3 linked regions of the Arabidopsis thaliana genome follow. The protein of the gene in region 1 interacts with the protein of each later gene in a pairwise test. Each region holds a gene or a part of one and is shown on either strand. Other genes may lie near its edges.

What was found.
Region 2: the proteins of SK13 (region 1) and FKF1 interact in a two-hybrid assay, tested with the Arabidopsis thaliana proteins (2 studies listed by BioGRID).
Region 3: the proteins of SK13 (region 1) and AT2G22030 interact in a two-hybrid assay, tested with the Arabidopsis thaliana proteins (one study listed by BioGRID).

What each region holds. Positions count from the first base shown.
Region 1 is NC_003074.8:22,161,169-22,167,043, forward strand, and holds SK13 (SKP1-like 13), read right to left. Parts: upstream 2,434-5,875; 5' UTR 2,391-2,433; coding exon 1,926-2,390; 3' UTR 1,746-1,925; downstream 1-1,745. Other genes in the region: QWRF6 (QWRF motif protein (DUF566)), read left to right, coding at 1-613, 703-822, 913-1,029, 1,114-1,203, 1,297-1,404, 1,532-1,600; SK5 (SKP1-like 5), read right to left, coding at 3,676-4,137; SPL12 (squamosa promoter-binding protein-like 12), read right to left, coding at 4,688-5,119, 5,206-5,772, 5,859-5,875. UniProt on the Arabidopsis thaliana protein: Involved in ubiquitination and subsequent proteasomal degradation of target proteins. Together with CUL1, RBX1 and a F-box protein, it forms a SCF E3 ubiquitin ligase complex. The functional specificity of this complex depends on the type of F-box protein.
Region 2 is NC_003070.9:25,506,208-25,512,846, reverse strand, and holds FKF1 (flavin-binding, kelch repeat, f box 1), read right to left. Parts: upstream 4,209-6,639; 5' UTR 4,111-4,208; coding exon 3,839-4,110; intron 3,738-3,838; coding exon 2,150-3,737; 3' UTR 1,940-2,149; downstream 1-1,939. Other genes in the region: MAP70-1 (microtubule-associated proteins 70-1), read left to right, coding at 1-23, 106-252, 361-432, 525-1,055, 1,137-1,324, 1,416-1,455. UniProt on the Arabidopsis thaliana protein: Component of an E3 ubiquitin ligase complex that plays a central role in blue light-dependent circadian cycles.
Region 3 is NC_003071.7:9,369,265-9,375,903, reverse strand, and holds AT2G22030 (Galactose oxidase/kelch repeat superfamily protein), read right to left. Parts: upstream 3,375-6,639; coding exon 2,223-3,374; downstream 1-2,222. Other genes in the region: LST8-2 (Transducin/WD40 repeat-like superfamily protein), read left to right, coding at 56-168, 256-325, 392-469, 548-664, 758-840, 924-1,006, 1,079-1,138, 1,219-1,328.

The sequences.
Region 1 (5,875 bases):
AATGGCAGACGGAGATGAGAATCGCTCATCAGAGACGGCGGCGCGTAGCCTAGACTCGCCTTTTACACTCTCACAAAGCCGAAAATCATCGAAACCAAGTCACTTGAAGCCGCTCAACGAGAATTCTCACCGGCTCGAAACTCCTACACCAATGGTTCCTCCTCCACCGTCTAGATCACGGCTAAGCCAACAAAGATTACCAACTGCAACGAGACTTCTCCAACTAAGCGGCATATCAGCCTGTTATGAGAAAGAAGGAATCATCAACATTCAGGAGAAACCTAAATCTAACGGCTCAGATCAGTTTCCAACACTTTCTTGTAGAACTCATCTTAAAGTTTTCAACAATCCTGTACCTTCTTCTCTTAATCGATCTGTGAGTTCACCATCTTCAAGCTGTAACGTTCGTGAGAGCAGTTCGTTTTCACGTTTAGGCTTGCCATTGCCTCCAATGGCACCCAAGGTTCCAGCGGATACTAAAAAACAGAGGAAGGTTACAGAGCAATTGGAAGATGTGCATTCTCTGAAACTGCTCCACAATCGTTACCTCCAATGGAGATTTGCAAACGCCAATGCACAAGTGAAGACTCAAACTCATAAAACACAAACTGAGGTTAATTTCTCTGATGGTCTGCTTTTATGGTAAAATCTTTGAACTAAAGGTTCTGTTTATGTTTAATGGTGTTTTGTTTTATCTTGTAGACCATGATCCATTCCTTTGGTTCCAAGATATCAGAATTACATGATTCTGTGCAAAGGAAACGCATAGAGCTTCAACGTTTATTGAAAACTAAAGCTCTTCTCGCGATTACAGAATCTCAAGTAAGCTTAAAGATACTTTAAACTTCCATATTATTGACTCTCACATAAACGTATATGAGACTTATGAGAAAATGTTTCACATTATTTCAGACTCCATGTTTGGAGCAATGGTCTGCTATTGAAGAAGAGTATTCGACTTCGGTGTCACAAACAATCCAAGCTTTTTCCAATGCTTCATTACGGCTTCCACTCGATGGGGATATCATGGTATCTTGTGCTCATGAGTAATATCAACTAGGAAGAATCATCTGCATGTACGTATCAACTAAGAGTTTGCTTGTCAAAAACCAGGTTGATTCTAAACAGTTAGGAGATGGACTTGTGGCTGCTTCAAAGATTGTTGACGGCATTACACAAAATGTTGGAAACTATATGCCAAAGGTTAGTAGAAGAATAGTATCAATGTCAGGGTTTTATTATTTCTATTGAAGATTGACTGTATATCAGAATCCTTGTTGATAATACATTTTGCAGGCAAAGGAGATGGAGAGTTTGTTGTCAGAATTAACAAGAGTGGCTAGAAGTGAAAGATCATTGACAGAAAATTGCGTTGTGGCTCTTCTTAAAACGCAAGCTTCACAAGTACTCAACCTTTCTTTACATAAGTTGAGAATATTTTAAACTTTTATGATCATCGTGCATCCTTTTTTTTTCCTTTGTATAAGAGTTTTAAAAGATCTTTATATATATATATATATATGTTTTGCAGATTGAAGAATGTTCTATGAGAAGTCAACTTATCCAGCAAACAACAAAAGAAGAGTCATCTTCTAAATGAGCACAACTCTTGTTCTACTGAAAGAGATTTATATCGAATGAGTGTAGCATTAAAATCGATTATAGATTATACAGAAATAAAATAAAAAGACTTTTTGACAACATCGTTCTTAAAAATTGCTCAAGCATATAAATCTCCAAAGGAATTAGAAAAGACAATAACGAAGTCACATTGATCAAGAAAACACACATACACACAAGAGAAGAAAGAACAAAAGACACTGTTCAAGAGATCGGAAACAAACTAAAGAAAAAAGAACACGAGACATTGATCTTGATAAAGAAGATCAGAAAGCACACTAACGTCGAAAAAGAAAACTAAAGAATCATTCAAAAGCCCATTGATTCTCCTTACGAATCTCCTCTTCCTCCTCCGGTGTAAAATCGTTCTCGATGCCAAGAAGTGCACGAATCTCGTCTGGTTTCTTGCCAGTGATCATGTCAGCAACAGTTTGGCAACCAAGGTCAAGCAGGTCTTTTATGTTTAGGTAATTCGCAGCCAGCATAACATCAAAGAGAGTCGACGACTGTTCCAGGGCCTTCATGAACTCAGCGTCCCACTTCTTGAGTTCGTCTTTGCTCTCTTCGGTTGGTGAATCAGAAACGACGTGTTTCTTGCAATACTCGATCACCTTCGAGAGGATGACTCCTGTAACGTTTGCGATAGGGACTCCATTGGCGACGCAATCGTCTTCAATCATATGTGCTATCGTCTGTGACTGGACCGCGACTGCTTCTTCGACCTGGAAAGATTCACCATCGGAGCTCAGCAACATAACCATCTTCGACATCGTTTCCTTCTTTTTTCTTTTTGTGGTGGCGATTTTTGTTTACAAGGTTTTCGATGATGGAGAGATATCAAAAGGTGTGTATTTATAGAGAGACCTAATTGTGAGAGTCGGTATAATTCTTGCCTTTTTTCATAATGGATGAAATTACTATTTTAACCTAAAAGGAAAATTCAGTTGAGTAAACCAATCCTAAACCGGGTTTTTGATGGATCTAGTCCCAATTGATCTAATTTCGGTACAAAAAGGAAATCAGATCCGAATCTACGTGTCATAATGAACGGCTCTAATTCAATACAATTGTAACAAGAGTTTAACGAGTGAACCAACAAAAAAGAGGTAAAAAGAAAAAAAAATGGAAACTTTCTAAAACGTTACATGTGTATATTCCATATTTTAAAAAACTCCGAAAGCAAGAAAAATATCTACAAATTTTGTTTATGTCATTCAAAACAAAAGAAAAGAAGAAAAGTAATTATGGTCACGTAAATTTATCATGTGTTCCCTCTTGATATAGCCAAATTTTAATAAATCCAAACCATATCTGCCTCTGTTTAATACCATAATGATTGCATTTTGCACCTCATATCGAATCATCCCATATTTTTTTCTTCATTAAATCCACCAAATTGTTTCTTTAGACTCGAATTTTATATAGTTGTAGGCTTGAGTAGAGGTTATAACCCAAATCAAATTTGATGATAATCTCAAAAGTAGCAAACGTTTACCTTATTCTTAAGAGAAAATGAAAAGAAAACCCCTGCTTTGTCGCAAAGAGAACAAAAACTTTACAGAGTAAAACTTTCACACTATTTTTATTTTTTGATTGTTCAATCTTGACCATTTACATCGGTCTGATTACGATACAAGAATATAAACCAAAATAACCAAGTTGAATATCGAAATTGAAGTGTCATGTACTCTGTTTCGGATTAGAAAACTCAATTACAGTAAGAAAATGAGAAAAAGATTTGACTTCACATATATTCAAGAATTGCTTCAGAAACAAAAGAAAGACTCTTAACAACATCGATCTTAAGATTTGGTTAGCATACCAAAATCCAACAAACGATTCGTCTCTAAAGCAAAGATACAAACATTGGTTGACTTGCACACCAAGAAATCAAAAGAAACACACCGAACAAACAAGAGATAGACGAAGTCTTAGTCATCAATCTACATGAAGCATAAAGAAAACTGAAAACACACACACACTAAAGAAGAAAACGATATAGACGAAGTCACCAGCTACGTAGATTTGCATCAACAACTTTGATGATCCGCTCTCTCATTGAAAAGCCCATTGATTCTCCTCACGAATCTTAGCTACTTCCTCTGCTGTTAGATCGTTCTCGATGTTGAAGTGCGCGCGAATCTCATCTGGAGTTTTCCCTGAGAGCAAATCAGCCTGGAGCAAATCCGAGACAGTTTTACATGTGAGATCAAGAAGGCTTTGAATATTGAGATAATTCGCAGCCATCATAACATCAAAGAGAATGGTTGTTTCGATCGTCTTCATGAAATCAGCGTCCCACTCCTTGAGATCTTCTTCTTCTTTGCTCTTGACGTGCTTCTCGCAATAATCGATCACAATCTTGAGAATCTTGCTTGTGACGTTTCGAAGCGGTATTACATCAGTGGCGCAGCCGTCCTCAACCATATGGTTTATCGCGATTGATTTGCGTGCCACGTCTTCGTCGATCTCGAACGATTTACCATCGGAGCTCTTCAACATGATCTTCGTCGACATTGTTATGGAGCGATTTTTCTCTGGAAAGCAAGGTTGATGAAACAAGATTGAAGAAGAATTTAGAGAGCGATTTGAAGAAAAATGATGTAACGAACTTATGAATCTATGCGTCTGTGTATTTATAAGCTCCAACTGTCAGAGTCGGTGGGATCAACATTTTCAGTGGAGTAAACCAAGCTGAACCGGGTCGAATTTTACAATTGGCCCAGTTTCGTAGATTCGGCCCAAAACTTGATCGAGATGGATTAAATGTCAAAAGAAAAAAAGGATTTGGTTGGTGTTTTATGTGATTTGTTGTTATTCTCACTCACTTCAAGATTTGCCATCAAAGACAAAGTACAAAATGTAACAAACACACAAAAACGTAGTTATACAAATTCGGGGGTTTAACATCAGATAAAGCTACATTACATATAATCTTGTAAAGCTGAATGATACATATTCTAGTAAAAATAATTAAACGTTACATAAAATTACACTCGTAGATTTCACACCAACACATCTTCTATTGAGAAGATTCTTTTTCAATGTCTGGTATAGGGAAGTTTTACTAGCTTGTTCCATACTCAAGTAATTCCCACCTGAATGGCTGAAAGACATATAGCACTTCCGGGCAACTCTTGAACAAAAGAGCGACACAAACGCAAACCGCTGCTATCGCTACCATCGAAAGCATTGCTGGCCTGTAGGCAACAGACTTGTGGTGCGTTGTGACAAACACACGTTTGTGATCACAGAGCTTACATTGGTTTATCTGTGTTATCTCCAAGCTTGAAGAATCCATTGGACTCCTCTTTTCTTGTTTGTGCTCAATGTTGAAAGACTCAGGAATGTTGACCACCACGTGTTCTTTGGCGATTGGTTTCCGACTGAGTTTCCGTTGCACCAGATGAATATACGAGAAGTGACCTCGTAAACGTGCATAGTCTTCTGGTGTGAATCCGGTATTGTCCCGGGAATTTTTCCAGGCTTGAATACCAGTCTGAACCAAACAAGAAGATTTTTTATCAGACAAAAACAGATTTTGAGTTTATATAAGTCAAAGAGGGAAATCAAATTCAAATTTACCATTCCAGGATCCTCAGTCAGGGCATCCAACACATCTTCTGAACCGTCTTTACCAGCTGCAATGTGAAGCGGTGTTAAACCGCCTGGACCAGCTGCATCGGGTCTAAACAAACCGGCTAATGTCTGATTCTTCTTCTTGGGACTGAATCTAAGAAGCATCTCAACCATGGGTTTTGAATTTTTCCTCACGGCTCTGTGAAGAAGACACAGTTCTGATAACGCAGCATCAGGAGATGGATCAACAGTGCCTTCTTCGAATAGAATATTCAATAACTTCTTCATCACACAGCACCATTCCCGGTCCATTGAGAACTCTATTAGAAACTTAAACCGTATTAAAGAAAACAGATCCTCTGGATTATGATCTGATGCTGCAAGTCTTGACTTGAGTTCACTTCTGTGTAGAAGCCAACCGATTTCGTGGATGAAATCCATTGCTTGCATTGCAGAATCAGTTCCAGTAAACTCTAATGTGCTTTCGAGTCTTCGGATTTCAGAACAAATATCTTCGTCTTCAGATACTATGAAAGGGAAGAAACTACTGCTTAGCCCACCTTGGTCTTCAATCTAGATTATTGGCCAGCAAAAATCTCACGTTTAGATATCACTGCAACAACAGGAAACGCAGAGCACGAAACTGAAAGTACACTTACTTCCATGAAACCTCGAC
Region 2 (6,639 bases), on another chromosome or scaffold:
AGCGGAAGTTTCAAGAGATGAACGTAAGTTAATACATTTCCGAAAAAAGAAGTATAGAATCTTTACTCAACTGATGAAGGAATATTTCTTGCTCTACTTTTGCAGGAAGAACGAAAAACTCTTGACCGGGAACTTGCGCGTGCAAAGGTTACAGCAAACAGAGTTGCGACAGTGGTTGCAAATGAATGGAAAGATGGTAATGATAAAGTGATGCCTGTGAAGCAATGGCTTGAAGAAAGAAGGTTTCTACAGGTTTACTTTGATATGATTGCCCTTTTCCTAAATTTGTGGAATCCAGATTCTTTGAAGTGACAAAGGCACACAACCTTACATTCTCACTCTTTAACTCTCTTCTTGCAGGGAGAAATGCAGCAACTCCGCGATAAGCTTGCCATATCAGATCGAGCTGCGAAATCTGAAGCACAGCTAAAAGTATTCATCGTATTTATGCATTAGTCATTGTCGAATTTATGTTCTTGTTTAACTGAACTAATTAGTAAACTATTTCCTTATACAATTTCTAGGACAAGTTTCAACTACGACTTAGAGTGCTTGAAGAGACACTGAGAGGCACATCAAGCATCAGCATAAGGAACACACCTGAGGGAAGAAGCATGAGTAATGGACCGTCTCGCAGGCAGTCAATCGGTGGATCAGATAATTTACAAAAGTTTGCGTCAAATGGCTTTTTGTCAAAGAAAACTCCGATGAGAAATTCCTTTACTTCTAATTCCACCTCGGTATTGAAGAATGCTAAAGGAACATCCAAGTCATTCGATGGAGGCACAAGATCATTGGATAGAGGCAAAGCACTCTTAAAAGGACCTGGGAATTATTCGTTCAACAAGGCTTGTGATGAAACCAAAGAATCAGAGTCACCTAATACCTGGAAAGAAGATTCAGAAGAGAAGCCACCAAGTGAACTCCCTGCACCAGCAACCGAAGACAATGTCCCAGGGGTTTTGTATGATTTACTACAGAAGGAAGTAGTCGCCTTGAGAAAATCTTCGCATGAAAAGGATCAAAGCCTCAAAGACAAGGATGATGCCATAGAGGTAAAATCTCTCTGAATGTACCATATAAAATGTTGTTAAAAAGACGTGTTTGTAATGGAAGTCTTGATATTTTTCTTGTAGATGTTAGCAAAAAAGGTTGAAACTTTAACAAAGGCAATGGAAGTTGAAGCAAAGAAGATGAGAAGGGAAGTGGCTGCAATGGAGAAAGAGGTTGCTGCAATGCGTGTGGATAAAGATCAGGATAATAGAGCTAAAAGGTCTTCAAACACCAAACCCTCATCCAACACCGCCCAGATTCTTGCTGCAAGGTATCTAACAATGTTGAATATCTTTGTCTATTTTTATGATCAAATTGCGATTTTAGCAATCAGACTAAGCTTGGTGTTCGATATTCTGCAGAGCTGCTGGCCGAAGTGGGTTAACAAGGAGTACACAATGAGATGAGGGAGGAGATGTGACTAGTTCTTGTGGTCGTATCAGTTTAAACAAGTAAAACCGTTATAGGCTGGTGTGATTTTTAAGCTCTTTTTAACCTTTATATCTCTTTTTTATTTCTCTTGCTTTCCTTTACATCCTCTGTGATTTATTGAATTACCATAGAACTTAAGGATGAAAAAGATAAGTATGCTTTCTGACTTAGATCGGCTTACACTGCTTAGCGATGACGACAAGAAAAAAGGGTGGAGGGAGAGATGTTTGACATTTTCGCATAACATTTTCTGTCCTATGGAAGTAGTTTGTTTGGCTGTATAGGTTTTAGCTCTGTATTGAAGTTTGTGTACTTTACTTTTTCGGTTTCTTCATTCTATTTACTTGAGGTGTTGTGTGATTATTTCTACTTTTGGGTTTGTGGATATATATATATATGTCCAAACTCAGTGTCTTCTCTCTTTTGGATGGTACGTCAAAAATCAAATCCTGCATGGTCGAGTAACAAGGAGAAGTATATTATAGAAGGATCTTCATACAGCAAAACCATTAACATTACATGAATATCTATCTAAAGCGTACAACAATCACTAATTTACTATGTACACACGCTTCTAGCTTCTGATATATCTCTTCTACATGTCGTAAGAGTTTGGAATGTGACAGATACAAAACCACAAACCAAATGAAGAAGGAAAGAGTCTTTACAGATCCGAGTCTTGCCGGCTAGCCAAGCAGAGTTCATGTAATTCATTGAGTATCCATTCCTCACCAGTGTGACCACCAAGGACCAATACTCTAGTTCCTCCAACAACGCATGTGCTATGTCCCCAAGCTAACTTAGGCGGTTTCCCGGGGACATTCAGGATCCTCCATGACGGTTTCTCTTCTGCAGGATCTATTAGAAACAGTTGCGAAGGAGAGTGAAGCCCTGCAATCGACCCTCCAAAGATGATGACCCTACCACACGGCATGCTCACAGCCACATGGTCTAGTCTTGGAGGCGGTACAACCACGCCTGGGAATGCGCTACACTCAAGCTCTCTCCATCTTGGTTCTTCATCCTCCAAGTCTATAGTGTATGCCTCCCCTGACCTTAGCTTTAGATGACCACTATTTGCAAGCCCGCCAAACATTAGGATTTTAGTCCGACCAAAGACCGATAAAGAATGCCCAAGTCTAGAAGGAGGAGCCCATGATGTCGGGATCTCTTTCCATGTCGGTTTATCTGTTGTCAGATCCAACAAGAAGGTGTCGCTGAGAAGCACTCCAGCGTCTGTGCAGCCACCTGAGACAACCAGTTTAGAGCCCTCAATGGTGCACGAGCTGTGCCAAGATCTTGGCAATGGAGGAGTTCCTCCTGCTACTTCCTTCCATGTGGGATGCTTAGCGTCTAGATCAAGCACAAATACATCATTAAGCAATCCTTGTCTTCCACACCCTCCAAAGACTACCAACCACGACCCGTTGAGACACGAGAGTGTGTGTCCCCAACGTCCTGGAGGCGACGACGTCACCCTCACACGCTGCCACTCAGGACACTCTGCATCAAGATTGAGAACAAAAGTATCATCCAATGGCTGCATGTTAACCCCTTCCCCACCAAATAGCACAAGCCGGTTCCCAACAGCACACGCGCTGAAATTGCAGCGGGAAGGTTGTACAATCCCTCCAACAGTAAATTTACGCCAACACACAGCTTCAAGAGTGGTGAGCTCTCTAGCTAACCGACCCCATCTTAGCTTCTTAGTCATAATCTCCAGTGTTCCAGTTATCTCTTTTCCCCACGCATTCTGACATACCATCTTCCTCACACTCTCGTTCTTCGTCAACTGCCTCAACCTCCTGCAAGCAGAACCAATTGAAGCAACGTCCCTTGGAGTTAACCGAGATAAGATGTTATGAGCCAAAACTTCATCAGATAGCTGCAATATCCCACAGAAATCTTCATGATGCTCCTTAAACCTCGGGCTTCCACTTGGAAACAAGCACTCAGATGTTTGATCAAGCTGTTGTTTATGTTTGAACACAGGATACGAGACACGGTCAAGGTCTATAGTCGTTTCAGAGAAGACCTGTATCCCAATTACGTGTGTAATGGTTCCATCATCGTCACGTATTGGAGCAAGCCGTAGTCTGTTAACCAAAGGAGTACCATCTTTTCTGAAATTAAGAAGCTCTCCTTGGAATTCAATACCTTCTTCAAGACATCTCCTAATCTCAGATACAACCACAGGATCAACCAATGGGTGACGCCTTTGAGCTCGAGGATCTCTGTACTGTAGGAATCGACTGAAACCAAGCAGATTCAACCACAAATGCAGCATTATTCAAGAGAATTGATAACAACACACTCCAATTCAAAAAGGGGGAAATCGGAGAAATTAATATACCAGTTACGACCAAGAACTTCATCGGCACGATAGCCAGTGAAGACTTCGAAGACTCTGTTGACATAGATCAAAGGAAAATCTGGCTCCAGAGCATCGGAAACAATGAACGAAGGCGGAGTCATTGGGTAATAGAACATCCCAACCTCTAACGGAAGCTTCTCATCCTCTACTTGTTCTTCGATTCCATCGTTACAGTATTCTTCTGCTTCTTCAACTCTGCCGCGTTTCTTTCGTTTTCCGGTGGCTTCTCCGATCGCATGTTCTCTCGCCATTTTTCTCGCTTACAGAAATATCTTCTTCTTCTCTGATAAGCTCTCAGCCTTATGATATTTTATTTCTTTTTGTGTCTGTTTAAACTTTTAAAATATCTTGGCTTAGTTGGTGACTTATTGACGAATATACCCTTTATATTTAAGACGAGGCAAGAAGTCTTCGCGCCAGGAGTTGGTGGCAATTTTCGTAATTAAAAGGATATATCAGGGGTATGTTTAAAAAAAGTAAGTCTACTCTTGTTCGATTGTAACACGTCACCAGGGGATATTCCGAGAAAATATCTAGCCTACTCAACCACTCGCTTCTTCCACGTCATCATATTTTGTGAAAGATATTTGTTTTTTTTTTGAAGATTGAGATTTGAGGGAAGATATTTGTTTTTGTTTGTGAAGTGTTGGAACTTGGAAGTTGGAACGCAATTGGAATCAGATTCACGTAACCGTTGACTCTGGTCAAATAATAGATATTTTTGTGAAACGCGATTCTCGAAAAGGTTACACATAATGTTAATGTAACAAATTGAGTTTTCGTGGTGAGTGGAATGGGATGATGAGACAAGGGAGTTTTTCTCCCCAGTTGAGAAAATTCAGATTTAGCTCTAAAACTTCCCACTTATATAAGTTTCTAAACAAAAAAATTACATTAGAAATACGAAAATGTACGTAAGTAATGTAAATATGTAATAATTGATAGCAATAGTGGCCATAGACCCCACATAGTGGCATACTATGAGAGTAATAGAGTTAAGTGTAGTCCTAAGATTTACAGAAGTCCAGATCTAGGCCCATACTAAATAGCTAGCCCACAAAGCCCACACAAAAACTTAATTTGAACCAAATAAATAGACAACATATTTTTTTTATTTTTCTTAACCGTGTGAGAAGGCTTCTGACCATAATCTTTCAAGTACATGAAATCAACCTTTACATATTCCAATTGTGTTCAACCAAAAAAATATTCCAATTTAAATAATATATTTCCATTCCAAAAAACTAAACACAAGAAAACTAACCCTTTTGGTATATAGACAAAATAATTGTTTCATAGATTTATCTTTTTATTTTATCTTTAATTTCTATACAATTAAAGGTAAATTAAAGGTAATTTCTATACCACTCCAACATTTCCTGTTATGTTTCATTAGCTACTTCAAGTTTTAGATTTATATCGGGTTCACAAGACGTCAATAAATTACATTCCTTATCACCTCAATAAAAAAAGTTATGATTTTTTGTTTTTCTTATTTTTTCTTTACTTTTTGATATAAAAAAAAGTTCTGGCTTTTGTTATGTAATTTGATTTTTTGAACACAAACAATCGAAACTCAAACATCTTTTTGGTGGACTAAAACCCAACAACTTTTTTTGATTGATGAAAAAAATAACATTCATTTTTGGAGAATATAAATTCAGGGAAATTTATAATTAATTAAAGGTATTGAGGCTCTATCTATTGCCAATACTTTTGGGACCGCTTGGTTCATCGCGAAGACAAAGAGACATGTTCAAAAACAATGGTACTCATCGCACCCCTGTCACTAGAATAATAGCCACTAATCCTAGTCTAACATTGGCCGGTCTGGTCTTTTTCTTTTTAAATAGTTTCATGATTGTCATCATCTCAATTTTTGTGTAAGTTAAGTTATGAGTTAATTAATGACAGAAATAGAGCGAGCAATAGTTTCTTTTGAAGTCGTGAAATGTATAACATCAATATAGATCCAAGTATGATTTTTGACCACATCCAAATTACAAATTAAAAACAAAAAAATTCTATAAATGTTTCGAATATTTATATAAAAACAGACGAAGAAAAATTGAAGTTTTGAATCATGAATGAAACAAAATCGTGCTAAGCAAAACAATTTAAATGGTTGGTGTACTGCATGTGCTTTAACGTGAGCAGTTTAATGAGAATTAGGGTTCCACATGTTAATATATATTTATAATGTTATCACAAAAATATATTTGTAATTTCACAGCTAAAATATGACTTCTTTTACCAAAACAAAAACTAAAATATGACTTGAACACGAAACAGAAAGTATATACATTCACGTATCACAGCCCTAGAATCTAGCTCACTTCCTAATTCGAAAATTGCGTAAGCTCACACGTCAGTACCCTAAACTATTACCTCCGTTTTTTCTTTTCTTTCAGGTTTTAGTTAACTAATTAATTAGTCAATAAAAACTTCAGCAAATGAAAAACAAATTTGCTGCGTGAACTTTTTTAGTTCATCAAATCTTTTGATTTTGTGGGATTCAATATCCAACTTAATACATATCATATTCATGTGCACTTTCAGTTTAGTATAAAACTCGAGATTATTAATTAAACAAAACATAAAAGACAAAAAAGTAAAAACTAAAGAGATCATATACTAAAAGAAAAAAAAGTAGTATGGTTTTATTAATAAATAATGTAATAAGAATATATTTATATTGAAAAACATTTTTAAATAGTATGATTTTAAAAATAAATAATGTAATAAGAATATGATTTTAAATATATGTTAGTGTTAACATT
Region 3 (6,639 bases), on another chromosome or scaffold:
CTTTCCTTTTGATTGAATATATGAATGATCTTGATGGAGTCTTTGTGCACATTAGGTGAGGAATTTTGTATCACACACCAAAAATGTTATGGCGGTAGGATTCCAATATACTGGACACATGATGTATTCAGGGTCAGAAGATGGCTCTGTTAAGATCTGGGACTTGAGGTATATAGCACATTCATGTTTTTTTTTTCTCTCTTCTATATATAGCTCAATGCTCATTTTGATTTGACCCGTGAACCGAAAATGCAGGGTTCGAGAATGCCAAAGGGAGTTTAGAAGTGTTTCACCAGTTAACACAGTTGTTTTACACCCAAATCAGGTACATATCTTAGTGTTGTTTTGTAGCAATCGGCTTAGTTGTCTTACTTGTTATCCTTTTTTATAGACTGAATTGATATCTGGAGACCAAAACGGTAATATACGTGTATGGGATCTCAGAGCAGATTTGTGTAGCTGTGAACTGGTACATTTCTTTATCCTAGTTACATTTTCTAAGAATCTGTAGATATATAATATTACTTTGGTGTATAACTATATATAGGTACCAGAAGTCGGTACACCTATACGGTCTTTAACGGTTATGTGGGATGGGACAATGGTGGTTGCTGCTAACGACCGTGGAACATGTTATGTATGGCGCTCCTTGTGTGAAAGACAAGTACTGTTCTAATCATAAGAAAAACTTTCTTTCTTCCATTATGCTGAAATAATTGTTCATGTCATTTAAAAATTTGATTGTGTTTTTTGCTAGACGATGACCGAGTTTGAGCCCCTTCATAAGCTACAAGCTCATAATAGCCACATCCTTAAATGTCTCCTTTCTCCTGGAAACAAGTAATTATGTGTTTCTTCTTCTTTCTCTTGCAACCTGTTTTCTTTGTCTTCTTTCTTTTTGTAAGGTCTTATATATTTGTTAGCAGATATCTAGCGACCGCATCATCTGATAAAACAGTCAAAATATGGAACCTTGATGGTTTCAAACTTGAGAAAGTTTTAACAGGTATATGGTCTCTCCGTGTTTCTGAAAGGGGTATGTGTTCTCTTTTACACTCTCATCAATATCATTTAACAGGTCATGAAAGATGGGTATGGGACTGTGACTTCTCAATGGATGGAGAATATCTTGTAACAGGTACTACTTAATCTCTTTACACTGGAAAACTTGTGTGAGACAAAAGAGTATTTAAACTGGTTTTCACTTTGTACTATTAGCATCATCGGACACCACGGCTAGATTGTGGTCGATGCGAGCGGGAAAAGAAGAGATGGTGTACCAAGCTCATCGCAAAGCTACTGTGTGTTGTACACTACTGCGTGATTAAATCCTGTAAAATTATCAAAAAGGATAAATTATGATTGTGTTGTTTGTGTTTTAGACAAATCTTGTACATTTCGATTGGATTTTTCTTCCTAATTACTCCTCTGATATTTTCTTGATCAGACGTTAATTCTCTCCCCAAACCCCTAATCATGGCCGAGGGACTCGTATTAAAAGCTAAACTCCACTTGTTGTGGGCAAGTCTTGGAGTAAGTATATATCAATAATTCAATATCATTGAGCCAACCTACTCACACGGATATTCCCGTGACATGTGGTGTAAAACTAGCTTGCCAAATCTATTCTAATCCTACTCTAAGTCGACAAGTCATGAACCACGTAAAGTTGGATACGAATTTAGATGACATATACTGAAATGCCCAAAATCGCATAGAAACTTGTATATCTAGATTTCAGATACAACAGTCGATCATCTAGAGTAGACAATTCTATTGTTGAATTGTCATACATCAACTTTTTAGCTAAGTAAGACGCTATATTAATAAAATTGTCATACAAAAAGTAAGAAAACGTTTCACAACATCATTACTATCATAAGCATCTCTTTTATAGTTTTGATCAGAAATGCTACTACAAGAAAAACTGTTTAAACATCTAGACAACGCCAAATGTCATGGTAAATAGGATTATATATTTTATAACCTTCAGTTACTTTTTGTAAGTTTAAAAGCTTGTTTTGTTTTTCAAATACACGTTTTTGGTATATAGGTACCTATTTATCGTAAGTGCTATATTAAAAATGAAAAGCAACCAAAGATGCAAATCATGTTTAATCTGTGATGCTCACAATTCTGCTCAGCCAATGCAACATATTAGTAATATGGTAATTCACAAAGTAAGAAAACGTCATCACACCATTACCATCATAAACTAAGTTTTAATAAGAAACACCTAGACAACGCCAAATTTCATAGTCATGAGGAACAAATCCAACGAGATCAGACCACTCGACCGTTCCATGGATTTCTACTCCACTCCTCTCCAACACGATCATCTCACACCAAATCCTCTTCTCGGTTCTTCCACTAATAATTTCTCTCGTGTTATTTCCCCACAGAAACCCAAGTTTCCCATTGCAATCCACCATCCCAACCATGTCAATTGATTTATAATCAAGCTTATTCAAACCTTTAACCTCTCTCCATACCTTATCTTTAGGGTCATACCACATTACCCCAAGATTAATGTAATAAACATAGATCACACTGTTTACCACACACACTCCACCTCTCCTCCATGCCTTTCCATCTGCCATCAAAAAAGTCTCACATTTTCCATCTTTCGTATCGTAGATTATGTGACTCCCATCTTTATAACTCATACAATAAACCTTCCCTTCCAATGCTACAGCTTCAGTCACAATTGCTCCATATCGCATTAACCCTTTTCCGTATCGGACTTCCCCATCTGAACTTAAAGGTCCAACTTCCCAAGTTTGTGAATTCGGGTCGAAAACCTCCACTTGGATTTGGTCTTCGCGGCACCCTCCCATTACGTATAGTTTCCCATTTACTACTGCCACGCCCGGTAACATGCGAGCCTCCTTCATGCTAGGACCCACACACAACTCGCCGGACCAGGAATCAAAGATCAATAGGCCCGGCAAACATTTGTACATGCATCCTCCAACGAAGTAGATCTTTGAACCTATGGAGACGGAGGGACAATACAACATATAGTAAGAAAAAACCTGAAATGAGTTAAGAACACTTGTTTTCTTCTCGTTTGGATTCAAAGTAAACCAATCAAGTCTCCTGCCCAAAAAAGGCTTAGTATCGGAAAAGCAAACATAAACGACGGGATCATCTTTGCCTATTAAGGATCGCATATGTGCAAGCTCAGGAGAACGCACAAGGGATTGGAAGCTTTTGGAAACACAAGAGAGGTTTGGGTAGTAGCGTCTGGAGACACGAGCTAAGCAGTTCAAAACTACATCATAAGGTAATGACGAAAACAACAAAGAAGATTGGTCCGCGGCAATATCGTATGGTCTAGGGTTTCGGTTGATTAAGTTTATAGCTCGTCTCATGAGTTGACTTTGGAGTAAACCTGTTATGAGTCCTTTTACTAATGAGAATAACGATGACGACGAAACTCTATGAATATTCTCGTGCCGTGGCTCGTTGGTGGTGGAGGCTGCTGGAGAAGACATATCGTACGATGGAGGAGGAGAAAAGAAAAAGATGAAGGAGCCCTACTTAATAAGTATGTTGGATTTGAAAGCTAATGAAAGTCTCCGTTGAGGAGATCATTCTCTATTGATTTCAATATAAAGGCATTACAGTTCCCCATATCTAGTGATATCTACGATCGTCCTATATACAAGGAGAATATACTTTAAGAATCATAAACAAACTTATATCGAATATGCTATCTTCTAATAGGATTATATCTGAAAAGAATATAAACAAATTAACCTATATATAAGCACAACATAATACCAAATCCCCTAGGCCTAGAACCTATTAGTTATTTAAAAAATGAAAAATAAAAAGTCATCAATTTTGACTAAAACGAAAATTGAACTATGATATCAAGACCTCATGCATAAAATAATATCAATATTGACATTATCAACAAAAATGTGGGACAAAATATCAAATATGAAATATCGATCGACACCAAAAGATGATATTTGGGTGAAACTTCCCTTATCTAAACTTAAAAATCTTCCCTTATACATCAACCAGACTCTGAAACTCAAAAGCATTAAATGCCATGACCAGTTTACTTACCTTAAGGAAAGTTGTCTCAGATCACTCATGGCGGCTTGTTCCTTGTGTTGTCTATACGTTTTAGATCATAGACAAGAGATGCATTGAGGCCTAATGATGATGATGGTTGTAATACATTTTGAGTCATGATTCACAATTTGACATCATCAAGACACAAGTTAATGAATGTTGTGTGTTCGATTCTTGAACTCTTGATTTATCCACTAGCTAATGCTGCGGTTCTGCCTAATCGATTGGAGAATTTGTATTTGTTTATCACATTTGTTTGATAACATATTGGTTCATTGTCTCACTCGGTGGTTAGCAAACACTTGAAAGTGGATTATGTTCCAAGCTTTTATGTATCTCCAGTCTCAGTTGGATGTTTTGTTAATAAATAAAATATGGCTCTTGCACAATGGGCATGAAACAATCTAGTACTTTACTTGGACTTCAACTGTCGTTACTTATGCTTTGCTTTCCCATAGAAAAATACAGCATATATATATAGTAGAAGCCAAAACAGAGCATAAAGATCACCATTTAAACAAAGCATATTAATGATAATATGATGATTAAACATATAAAGTATCAAACATCATAACATCATCATTAGCATCAACGTATCTCTTTTCATCTACTTAACTAACGCTACATTGAACACCAAATCTCTTTGTTTTCTTCCCACTAAAACAATGAAAATAGTACCAAACATTGAAAATCATCTACTCAAATTAAGAGGCAAATCATATCACTAGCTTTTAATCAAAAGTAAAAGCATAATCTTACCATTATCATTATCATCATGATTATATTCCATACATATTTTTGTTAATCACTACACCAAAACTATGCATTTTAGTATAGTTAGAACAGGGAAATCGTCCATAGAGCTGAGGTTTGGCACATTTGAAAATCTTTATGTTTTGTAGCATTTTTACTAAGTTTTGCTACATTGAATGACAAGTTCAACCAAAAATATTTACCAAAAAAAAAAAAACAAGTTGCTGTTCAACCAAATTCCCAAAAGTAAAAGTGGCAACGGTTGCAAAATTATTCCATCACACGGAAACGCAGCGTTTTAATATTTCCCTTGAAGACAATATAATGCCGTCTTAAGTCACTATCTGAATAACAGAGACATCAGCCAGTGAAGTGGCTGTTGATCAACGTGGAACACGTGCACGATACTTCTTTTATTAGTCATTAGCCGACAGTGGTCTCATAGCTTTCCACGTGGTGTGTTTAGAGATCGAGTTGATATTTTCAATTATTTATACTCTCAGGTCGTTGACAAGGTCGTGTGTCTATCGGAAGTTTGCAAAAGCTCCGGTGACTTGTCAACAACTGCTCCGTCACGTTCCGTCGATTTCAATCGTCTTTACATCCACTTGAATAGTTTTCGTGCATACATTATAGTAACACTCTTCTTTAATTTGCATAATGTATTAAGAATATACGAATGGCTTTTGACAATTGATTTACAAATAAAGTTTTCTAATTAAGTCAACTCCAGATTATTATTAGTTCTTGTCAACGAATGATACCAGTATTATAATTGTTTGTGAAACCCGTTATGATTATAGAATCTACAAATAGGAAACTTACATCTAAATTTTTCTTTACCAAGGAAACCTGATAACTAGATTCATATTTTTTTTTTTGTCATAAGATATTATTAAGGACTTAAAAAAAATAATTCCGAGAGAAATTATTTACAAAAGTGATATATAACTTAAATTTACATTTCTTTTTAGATTAATCATAATTATATCATATTTTAGATCCACTTAAATAAAATACAGTAAATACGCTATTCGACAACTGTAATCACATTCGAAAATTTCACGGGTAGTCGAAACCAAATCATCTTTGATAATAAACAATAATATTTTTTTTTTTTAAACTAAAAATAATAACTATTTAAAAGCGATAAACAAAACTAATTTTTTTTAACAATGTTTTTAGCAAAAATTTTACACGAAAATCTCATAATACTAACACTAAAATGAAAAAAAAAAGAATATTCAAACAATACCATATTATTTTTGTGATTTTTTCTTTAGTTAGTGGTGATACTAACATTCTTTTAACTTTACCTTTAAATTGCTAAGTTTTACAGCACCTTTTTTTTTGTTATTTTTGATTAATCCAAATAACAGGAAATATCTTCAGTAAAACAAATCTCATAATGTTAACACTAAAAAAGAAAACAGAAGGAGAAAAATTAAAAAGCGTTGTTTACTTTTTGTAATTTTGTAATTTGATTTAAGAACACGTTAACATCTACTACGCCACGTGTCAAAATAAACGTAAGACCGTCCGCATCGTAAACTTTCCTCCTTCTCCTTCTATAAAAGTTACCAGACCAGACCGTCGATATAATACGTCATCAGCCACGTCATCGACACCGACACGTGTCGGTAAAAAACCCACACGCCACATGATCCATTGGCTCGTTCGGTGTTAGCCACCGGTCTTCTGATTCCTCTCTCTCTCTTTCTTCAATTCTTCTTCTCTGTTCCCCCAAAAATATTGGGCGCAAAATCTCTCTCTCTCTCTCTCTTCGAGGAAGAAGAA